Drosophila melanogaster: one gene and its partner. The protein of the gene in region 1 interacts with the protein of each later gene in a biochemical or structural test. Each region holds a gene or a part of one and is shown on either strand. Other genes may lie near its edges.

Region 1 (3,276 bases):
GTGTGAACCATAATATGATATGAAAAGATATGATATTTACTATACCAATATTTTCGAAATATAAATAGAATAAATAAATAAATACATATATACTACAAAGGTATATATTAGGTATATTTGAAACAAAAATCATATTTTAACGATAACAGATGCAGAAATTGTATGAAAGACAAAAAATAATATTTGGTGAATATTATATTAGCCTGTGGTCAGGCTAAATATAAATGTAAATAAAATTCTTTATTGTTCTTACGGAAGTATTTCCAACTGCCTACCAGCAGCATTTTTGGATTCAAATGGTCTCCAAGCAGGAATGAATGCAGTCACTAATTGGAATGTGTTCACCAGCATAGCGAGTCCAATTTAAAATCCATTCTTCAAATCAGAATTGTACAGAGTAGCCGAATTTAACTATACTTACAATGGTCATTCAATTTGGGATTTTTCTTTTCCAACCTTATTCATATTATTTCATATCAGTTTTCAGAATAAAGAGACATTAGAATTTCCTTTTTTCGATTTATTTATTTCTTATATGATATTAGTGTTTATAGCTAAAGTTTTACATGGAAGACAATGATTCTTAGCCTAATTCTTATACGAAGACCCTAACAAACAAACATGGAAGACAATGATTCGGCTAAGACTAACTTAAGGCTAATAAGACACGATAAATCACAATGAGTTAACGATAGTAACGCTTGATTGTGATAATTGAATATCAATTAGAGTTGTGTTTCCCTTGGGACGCGAGCCCAAAGAATCCAATCTATGCCTAATATCACCCTGAGATTACGAACATGCGAAGCTGAACCCGCATCCATCCGACGACCAATGGACGGAGACACTTGCACTTAAAGCTGCCAATTGGAGTTTTTCCCGGTGCATCGAGAAGTGGAACTGTGCATCCTGGCGATGTTTAGGCCTGAACCCAACGGTCGAACTGCTGGCGCAACTGCTGTTCGTGGTGCTGGCGAGCTCCCTCGGCTGAGGTCCAGAAGAAGGTGCCGCTGGTGGTGCGGGCGAAGTGGACCGGGATGAAGGTCTGCTCCGGATGGACGGGCACGATGCTCTGTTGCTGACCCTGCTGCACGATCATGGCCACGTTGGTGGGGCACTGGCGGAGATCGGTGTACAGTCGCTGCTCCAGCTCCTCGTTGGCCATGTTATCGCAACTGGCCGCCGGATCTTTGCGCATGTCCTCCAGCGAGGCGTTGACTGCATTTTGGTTCTGGATCTCGGCCAGAGTCTTCCGGAGTAGCTGCTTCTTCTTCACCAGTCGCAGAAGGGGTTTGACCAGTTTCCTCAGACTCCGCATGGCCATCGTGTGCTGATCTGATTTCGGCTCCATCACCTTGCTGCTCTCAAACTTGTATTCCCGTGTGATGAACGACATTGTGTTGAGGATTGTTGAGATTTATAATAAAACTTGGGATCTTAGTTGGTTGCACTCGGTTGAGAGTTGGTAGTATTCTGGTTTTCCTGCTGCACGACCGACTCCTTATATACGATTTGCTCTCTTTGGTTTCTCTCGGCGGGGGAGAATTCTCGCACAGAGCGGCGGTTCTCTCGATCGATGGACCCAGCCAATGGGAAGGCAGACTGCCTGCAGGTGGTTGCACAAACAGTGAGAGCGGGAGACAAAAGAGAGCCAAGAGAAAGCGGTCTCGGAATCAGGAGCATGTCCTTACCCTTGAGAAAGCAGGGTATGATGAATTTTTGAGTCTGTGCATAAAAAATAGATTTTACGAAAAATAAGGTTAATATGTTTTTATTGTGTGTATATCTTTTAAGTGTATTTTTTCTAAAAAAAATTATTTATAATAGTAATATTGAAAGGGGCCATATAAGGTTGAATTTAATTGAATTGAATTCATTGAATTTATAATAACTATAGTAATAAGATCATAAACTTGATGAAAAATATCAATATTTAAGGACTCTATTAAAATTAAACTTAAAAGACTAGCAAGAATAAAATGTATCCTAAAATATTTGGTATACAACTAAATTAAAAACTATTTAAAATTAAATAATTAAGATCGGCACAGCCTTACAAAAAAAGTTTTCCTTAACAGCACACTGCTAAATTAAGGTATGTAGGAAGTACATCGGTAAAATTACAATAAATACAAAGAGATCGTTGTATATTTAACAATTATTTAGTATTTTACTAATGGTATTTATTTTTTGGAACATAGCATACCATACTAAGTCATTTACTTTAAAATTTCATATGTTTCCCACGTGATTCAAATGCTGGGTATTACCCACTCGAGTTGCTCATTCACTGCAGGTTTTTAACGGATTTTTTGACAGTCGCATAGATCTCGGTCGGTTCTCGATCTTTCGCCCCCTCTGAGAGTACCATGCCTCACAACCTCTCTTTACCTGCTCGACTCTGTCGCAAGAAAAGTAGAAGTCCCTAAATCCCAAACGTAAAATTCCAGGAGAGTACCGAGCGGACAAGTCGAAACTTGTTGAAAAAATTCCATAACAGAGTGTGAGGGAAGAGAGATTTTAAAATTCGACACACTATCCGAAAAAAGACGGAGGATATGGACAAACAATGGATTGGCATATCTCGGAGATACAATCTCGCCGCTGGAAATACCCAAACGGACAAGGGACTTGTCCGTTATTTCATTGAGACAGCCCAGAAAGTGCCCCTAAGTCCTTCCGTCCGATCGTCCTTTTCCTATTTTCCCAACCTGTAGGTAGTTGAGCAAAGTAACGTATTTTTCGGGTACTTGGCATTGCGATGGAATGGGATGGGATCGGACTCTCAAGGTTAGTCAATATGCATTAATGCCGCATTTCGGGAAATCTCGGCAGGTCCTTTTCAGCTCCTTCCGATCGCATTTGTTTGTCATTGTTGTTCTTTCCCGGTTCGAGGGACCTGCTCTGTTGATGCGTGAAAAATTTTCGACGCGGGAGAAGCACGTACAGATAGGGATCTTCAGAGTTTTGGTTTTTGGCTCGGTTTACGCATTTTAGTGGAATTTCGTCGGCACTTCGTTTATGAGTCGCCTTCCTAATTGTTATGGGCCCTTTTCCCTTGCCCCCGAAGGTTACTTTCATAATTTTGTAACGGCTCCGAGGACTCGAGTTTCTTGTAACGGTCGTTTCGTTCCTTTGGCTATCCTTACGGTCATTAAGAGGGTCCCTAATTGGCCCCCGTCTGATTGCTGTGCCCCGCATTACGCAGAGCTTCTTTGTTTTAAGGTTCTCCCTTTTGCAATGGAAACCTGTTTATTATTTTGCGCAATTCGGTGG
Region 2 (5,047 bases), on another chromosome or scaffold:
TAGCTAGCTCTTTAGAAAAAAGCTAGCAAAGTTAGCACAAGCATCTTTGTGTATATCCCCAATAGTTAACAACTGGTATTTATAGTTAATCAGTTGCAAAACGTTTACACTTGTAGAGATAACATTTCGCAGTGTCCGTTATCAAAGCGCGAAATTAAGCAGTGCTTCATATCAGCTATATGAACTATACTATACTACAATAACTATACGCAAACTTCAGAATGACACATCGAGATGATGACCTCATGAGGGGGAGAAAAATAAGTGAAAAAATAACGAAGGGGATGCATGAAAGTGGAAAAATATAGCAACAGATGTATGTAGCGAAAATGCTCAGCATACAACTGTGCTCAACAGAAAATGGCTTACTGGGAAATCAACAATAATATGTTAATATTGAAGCAATATTAGCAAAATGTCTCTTAAACATTATGTTTACAGAAATTTGTTTTTAAGCGGCGACTTACATATTTTGAACTTAATAGAATAACATTTTAGGTCTCAGAAGTTAATGTATGTATATTTATGGTGACCAACATTGTACTTAGATATGTACTTATATGTACAAACTTCCTTGGGGGGTGCGTACCGTCATTAACAATTGACTATTTACTTTTGGCCAACAATCGAAGGTCGGGCGACAATTTGTATTTGTGTGTCCCATAATCGGGGTCTCAAAGACGAGTTGGCAGTGCTCAGTTGCAAGCACACGCACGGCCAAGCAAACCATTTCGAAAAGTAAACCGTGAGAAGCTAAGTAAAAGCCAAGAGCAGATAAACTTTTTAGCCAAAGCAAACGTGGCATGCCAACACACAATAATAATAACAACAACAAACAAGGTACGAAATGTAATAGAAAATGCAGGTACAAAAAAGCAAAAGCAGCTGACGCCGAGCAAAACAACAACAAAGCAATTTCATTGATTACCGATAGGCAACGCACGTTCAAAACAAACGGACTGGAGCCGCCGCATAAAACATAAACCATTGCGGGCTTAAGCGCTCAGCAGAAAAATAAAAACTCCAAACACACTCAAGCTTCAAAGCCACGCCTCTTCCTCTTCTCATCCCGCTAGTCCATGGCTCTTCTCTTCTTCTCCTGCCGTGGATCGTTTGCTTTTCTGTTGTTGCTACCTTTGTTTTTGCTTTTGCCGATGGCGGCAACGGCGCTTCGCGTACAATTCCCCGAAAGGCAACAGCAACAACAACAAGCAATACTGAATGAGGCAGATGCAAAAACAGTGGTGGCGGGAAAAATGGAATCTCTTAAATACAGTACAATATTTTGCATAGCCACTTTTGACAAATAAAACTATTCCAGTGCTGAAGGACTAAATTAATAACTTTTTTTTATTATTCATATTGCGTCGTTCGTTGATATTCGACTGCTAGTTGTGCGACCACAATTGTTCGTAGGAGGCCAGTAAAAATAAAAAAAAAAGGGGTAGAAGCTTAGCCTATGCGTCACTGGCTTTGCTTTGCTTTTGCTTCGCCTGCTTTGGCCAAAAAAGAGAGCATTGAAGCCGAGAATGCAATTGAGCCAAAGTCAAAAAAAAAAGGTGATTTGTTGTTTTTACTTCTTTTTTTTTGTCTTTCCTTAGCTCAGCTGCTTGCAACCAAAACAAAAACAGCGCAACAAATTCCCCAGCCCAGATAATCGTTATGATAAACATAATCGCTCCTTGGGAAAATTGCTTTTGGTGGTATTTTCTTCAACTCAAGATCCCTCCGATCTGGTCTTCTCGATCAATTTGCGGTTACTTGGGTGCGATTGAAAAATTCAGTTTTCGAGAACTGACATTTCCGGCGAAAAAGTCGGAGTGTCGATGTTAAATTCTGCCGAAAAAGCCTTGAGAGAATTTCACATTTAAGATTTTTTCGCGCTTCTTTTGTGTCTATCTAGTCGGAAAAAAACAATTACTATTATAATCGCAAACTGGGCGTGTTCTGGGTGAGCATTTATTCATTAGCTTTTTGTTTTAAACTAACTCAAACTTTTTCGGTTTTTGCTCTTATCTTTCGTTATTTGTTATTGTTCTTGAGACGTAAAATGCTAATGTATGCATAAATGATTGCGGCTGGCTGTGTTTCTCGCTTATTTATCTTGCCGCTTTAATTAACCGAATGAATGAAAGAGCGATAGGTCAGACCACATGCTAATATTATGTGGGAATATCGCTGGAGATAAAAATACGATTCCCAGATCGATGAATAATGTATTTAAGGCATTTTCGCACGCGGTAATTACATTTGCTTCAAGACTTTAATGGTCAGATATCACGAAGGAAGTTTTATATTGTTAAAATGTACTACATCTACTTTAGAACCCAATCACACTGATTTTAAAAATTATTCCTGGATATTCCGAGAATTGTACGTCCTTTGAAAAACGACTTGGAAATTAACTGAATATTCTTGTTAATATATCCATCGATATCCTTAGCCCGATTCTTAGCCTGGTACTAATGCGACTACTAACCCAATCCAAAGCGCTTCTTGATCTTCTTGAGCAAGTGCATTTTCTTCTTGCTAGAGAGCTTGTCCTTGGTGCTCATGAGCAGCTCGTTGGACTCCATGGCCAGGACCTGGGCGGCCTGCTGGGCGGGAGTGGGCATGGCGTTGTGCAGCTGCTGCATCTGTTGCAGATGCTGCAAGTGCTGCTGATTCTGGTGGTGCTGCTGCTGCGGATGGAGAGTTAGGTGCGGATGGCTGCCCTGCATATAGTTGGCTGGTATATCCGATAGACCCATGGTAGTGGATTATTTCTTATTTCGTTATTTAAATTAAAACAGACGAACTAAACGAACACGCGTAATGCTAATGAAAATGCACAAGCTGCTTGCGTATTTTATTTGGCATTAAATTAAGCGATAGAGTTCTTCTTCGAATTTGAATGTTTTCCGTTAAAACATTTTGAATTTGGTTGGTTGTTTGTCTGCGCGCAACGGGAACAAACGAAACGAAACGATACGAAACACAAAGACCGACGACGACAACTTCGAGACAACCTTTCGCTGAGTTTTTTTTCAACAAATAAACGGTGGTGCAGCCTTTTATAGCTTCGCACCAGCGCGACGTCGCTGACGCAGCTCAGCTGGAGAGTAACGGATAGTACTGGCGCGCAGAAATTCTCCCGTCAGATTTGGCTTTTTTTAGTATATGTTTTCAAGATATTTAGAAGTTTAGGTATGCCAGTAAGACATATTTGGAAATTTAAGTTTTTTATAATTACTATTAACGTTTAGTGACAATTTGGGCTGTAGATTTGAATAACATTTCCTGTTTTACAATTTAATTAAAATCAAGAAACGGTAACTAAATTACATTAAAAATGCTTCAATTTATTTAAACTTATAATTTGTAAGCAATCTATTCAAATAATTTAAAATTTATCCATTTTCTGGCTAAGGGCTGTCAGCCCTGAGCGTGGATGGAGCGAAAAAGAGAGCTCAAGAGAGAAAATTATGAGACGCCATCGCTCTCTTTCTCTCTCTGGCAGCTGTTTCTTATTTACTATGGTTTCGCTTTGTGCCTGCTATTCGCGTGTATAGAGCCTCCCTTATAATTTACCTTTATGCCTCTAACTCTGCACCTTGATCAGGGATTCCTCCACATCTTCTCCTGCTGTTGCTCTTCCTGCTTCTTGTTGTTGTTGCTCTAGGCCTGCATTTGGGATTTTGGCCATAGTGCTCTGATCTTCACTAACAGTTATTCTCCTCACCTTAGTGTGTGTGTAGTTCAGCCAGGTTCAAAGCAATTCTTTTTCTTTTTCGCAGGGTTTACAAGGTCTGGCTCATATAACTAGAAAACTATTTCAATTGCCCTAATGCTTTTGATCGTGAACTTTGTGGGCCAAATATCACACGTACATACATATGTGTGTATGTATGTACTCAGTTGGAGTATGTATGGAGTAATTCCATGGGAATTAAAAAAAATTCCCAAACGTTTCTTGATAATAATAATAAATTTCTTCTTTTCCCAATTGTTTTCGGCACATTTAATTGTCCATTTTGTATGTGCAATTTATTTTAATAGAGAATATGAAACGAGATTTGTTTTTGTTTTGATTTTTTAAGTTTGCACTATAAAGATTATAAAATGAAATGGAAAGTTTGTAACTCAATTCCCAGTTTTGAAACCATTAGCTTACACAGAATTTAAAAAAATGTACCTATGATCTGGGACACATGCTATTGTGGTCTCATTTGCTAAGCTTTAGCATTGTGGTCAGCAGGATAACTGCCGTCTGGCGTCTGATCATCCTTTATCCTTTATGGATGCCACGCTGCCATTGATGGAGGATGATAATTGCGCCGAGCGCTCCTTATCCTCATCCTCGTCCTTTTTGTCCTGCATCGACAGACGGAACCGGGCAGACCTCACAGCAGATGCAATTTTCAAGATCGGAAGGGATCAAGACGGGGCAGAAAGCATTTAAATTTTGATATTAAAGTGGAAATGCATATTCAGCATCCTGGCAGCAGGCGTGCGTCCTGGAAATACATCTGCTGCTGCTTACCCGATTTCCCCCTCCTGTTCGCTCAGTTTGCAAAAATGCAAAAAAGGTCGGAGAAGGTGATGTTGGCGAAACAGGAACCGGCAGACATCGAGACCAACGAACAACCCCAAAAATTGTCAAAGAATACAGTGATCATTGGATAGAAATATTTTTTATCGACTTTAGGTTAAGTAGAAATATTAAAAATGCAGAGTAAATATCCTTGCAATATTATTTCAAGCCCTAAACCAACCTTATTTTTAGGATACCATTTCTTTTTTTTCTTTTAAATGTATGAATACTTATGTATTATAATTGCGTATCATAGTTTTTCGCTTATCGATATCCACTGTACCCATCATGATCACCAACGAAAGGTGTCCATCTGCGGTTGCAGTTGGAAAAAGGATCCGAAAAGGGTTTGCTCTACTGTAGTGCGTTTCCCCGCGCAGCCCCTGCCATTGGTTTCGTTCTGTTTGCTTGCCAATTCCAGGTGTAAATTCATAGCAAAAGATACACAGATACACGGTGAAGAGGGATTTTCGA

The links. Proteins that work in one complex are often made in the same cells at the same time.
Region 2: the proteins of Tom (region 1) and neur form a complex in vitro, tested with the Drosophila melanogaster proteins (one study listed by BioGRID).

What each region holds. Positions count from the first base shown.
Region 1 is NT_037436.4:14,967,547-14,970,822, reverse strand, and holds Tom (twin of m4), read right to left. Parts: upstream 1,480-3,276; 5' UTR 1,397-1,479; coding exon 920-1,396; 3' UTR 517-919; downstream 1-516.
Region 2 is NT_033777.3:9,030,700-9,035,746, forward strand, and holds the start of neur (neuralized), read right to left. Parts: upstream 3,033-5,047; 5' UTR 2,751-3,032; coding exon 2,480-2,750; intron 1-2,479. UniProt on the Drosophila melanogaster protein: Involved in neurogenesis. Interacts with other neurogenic proteins in the specification of the neuroblast versus epidermoblast cell fate.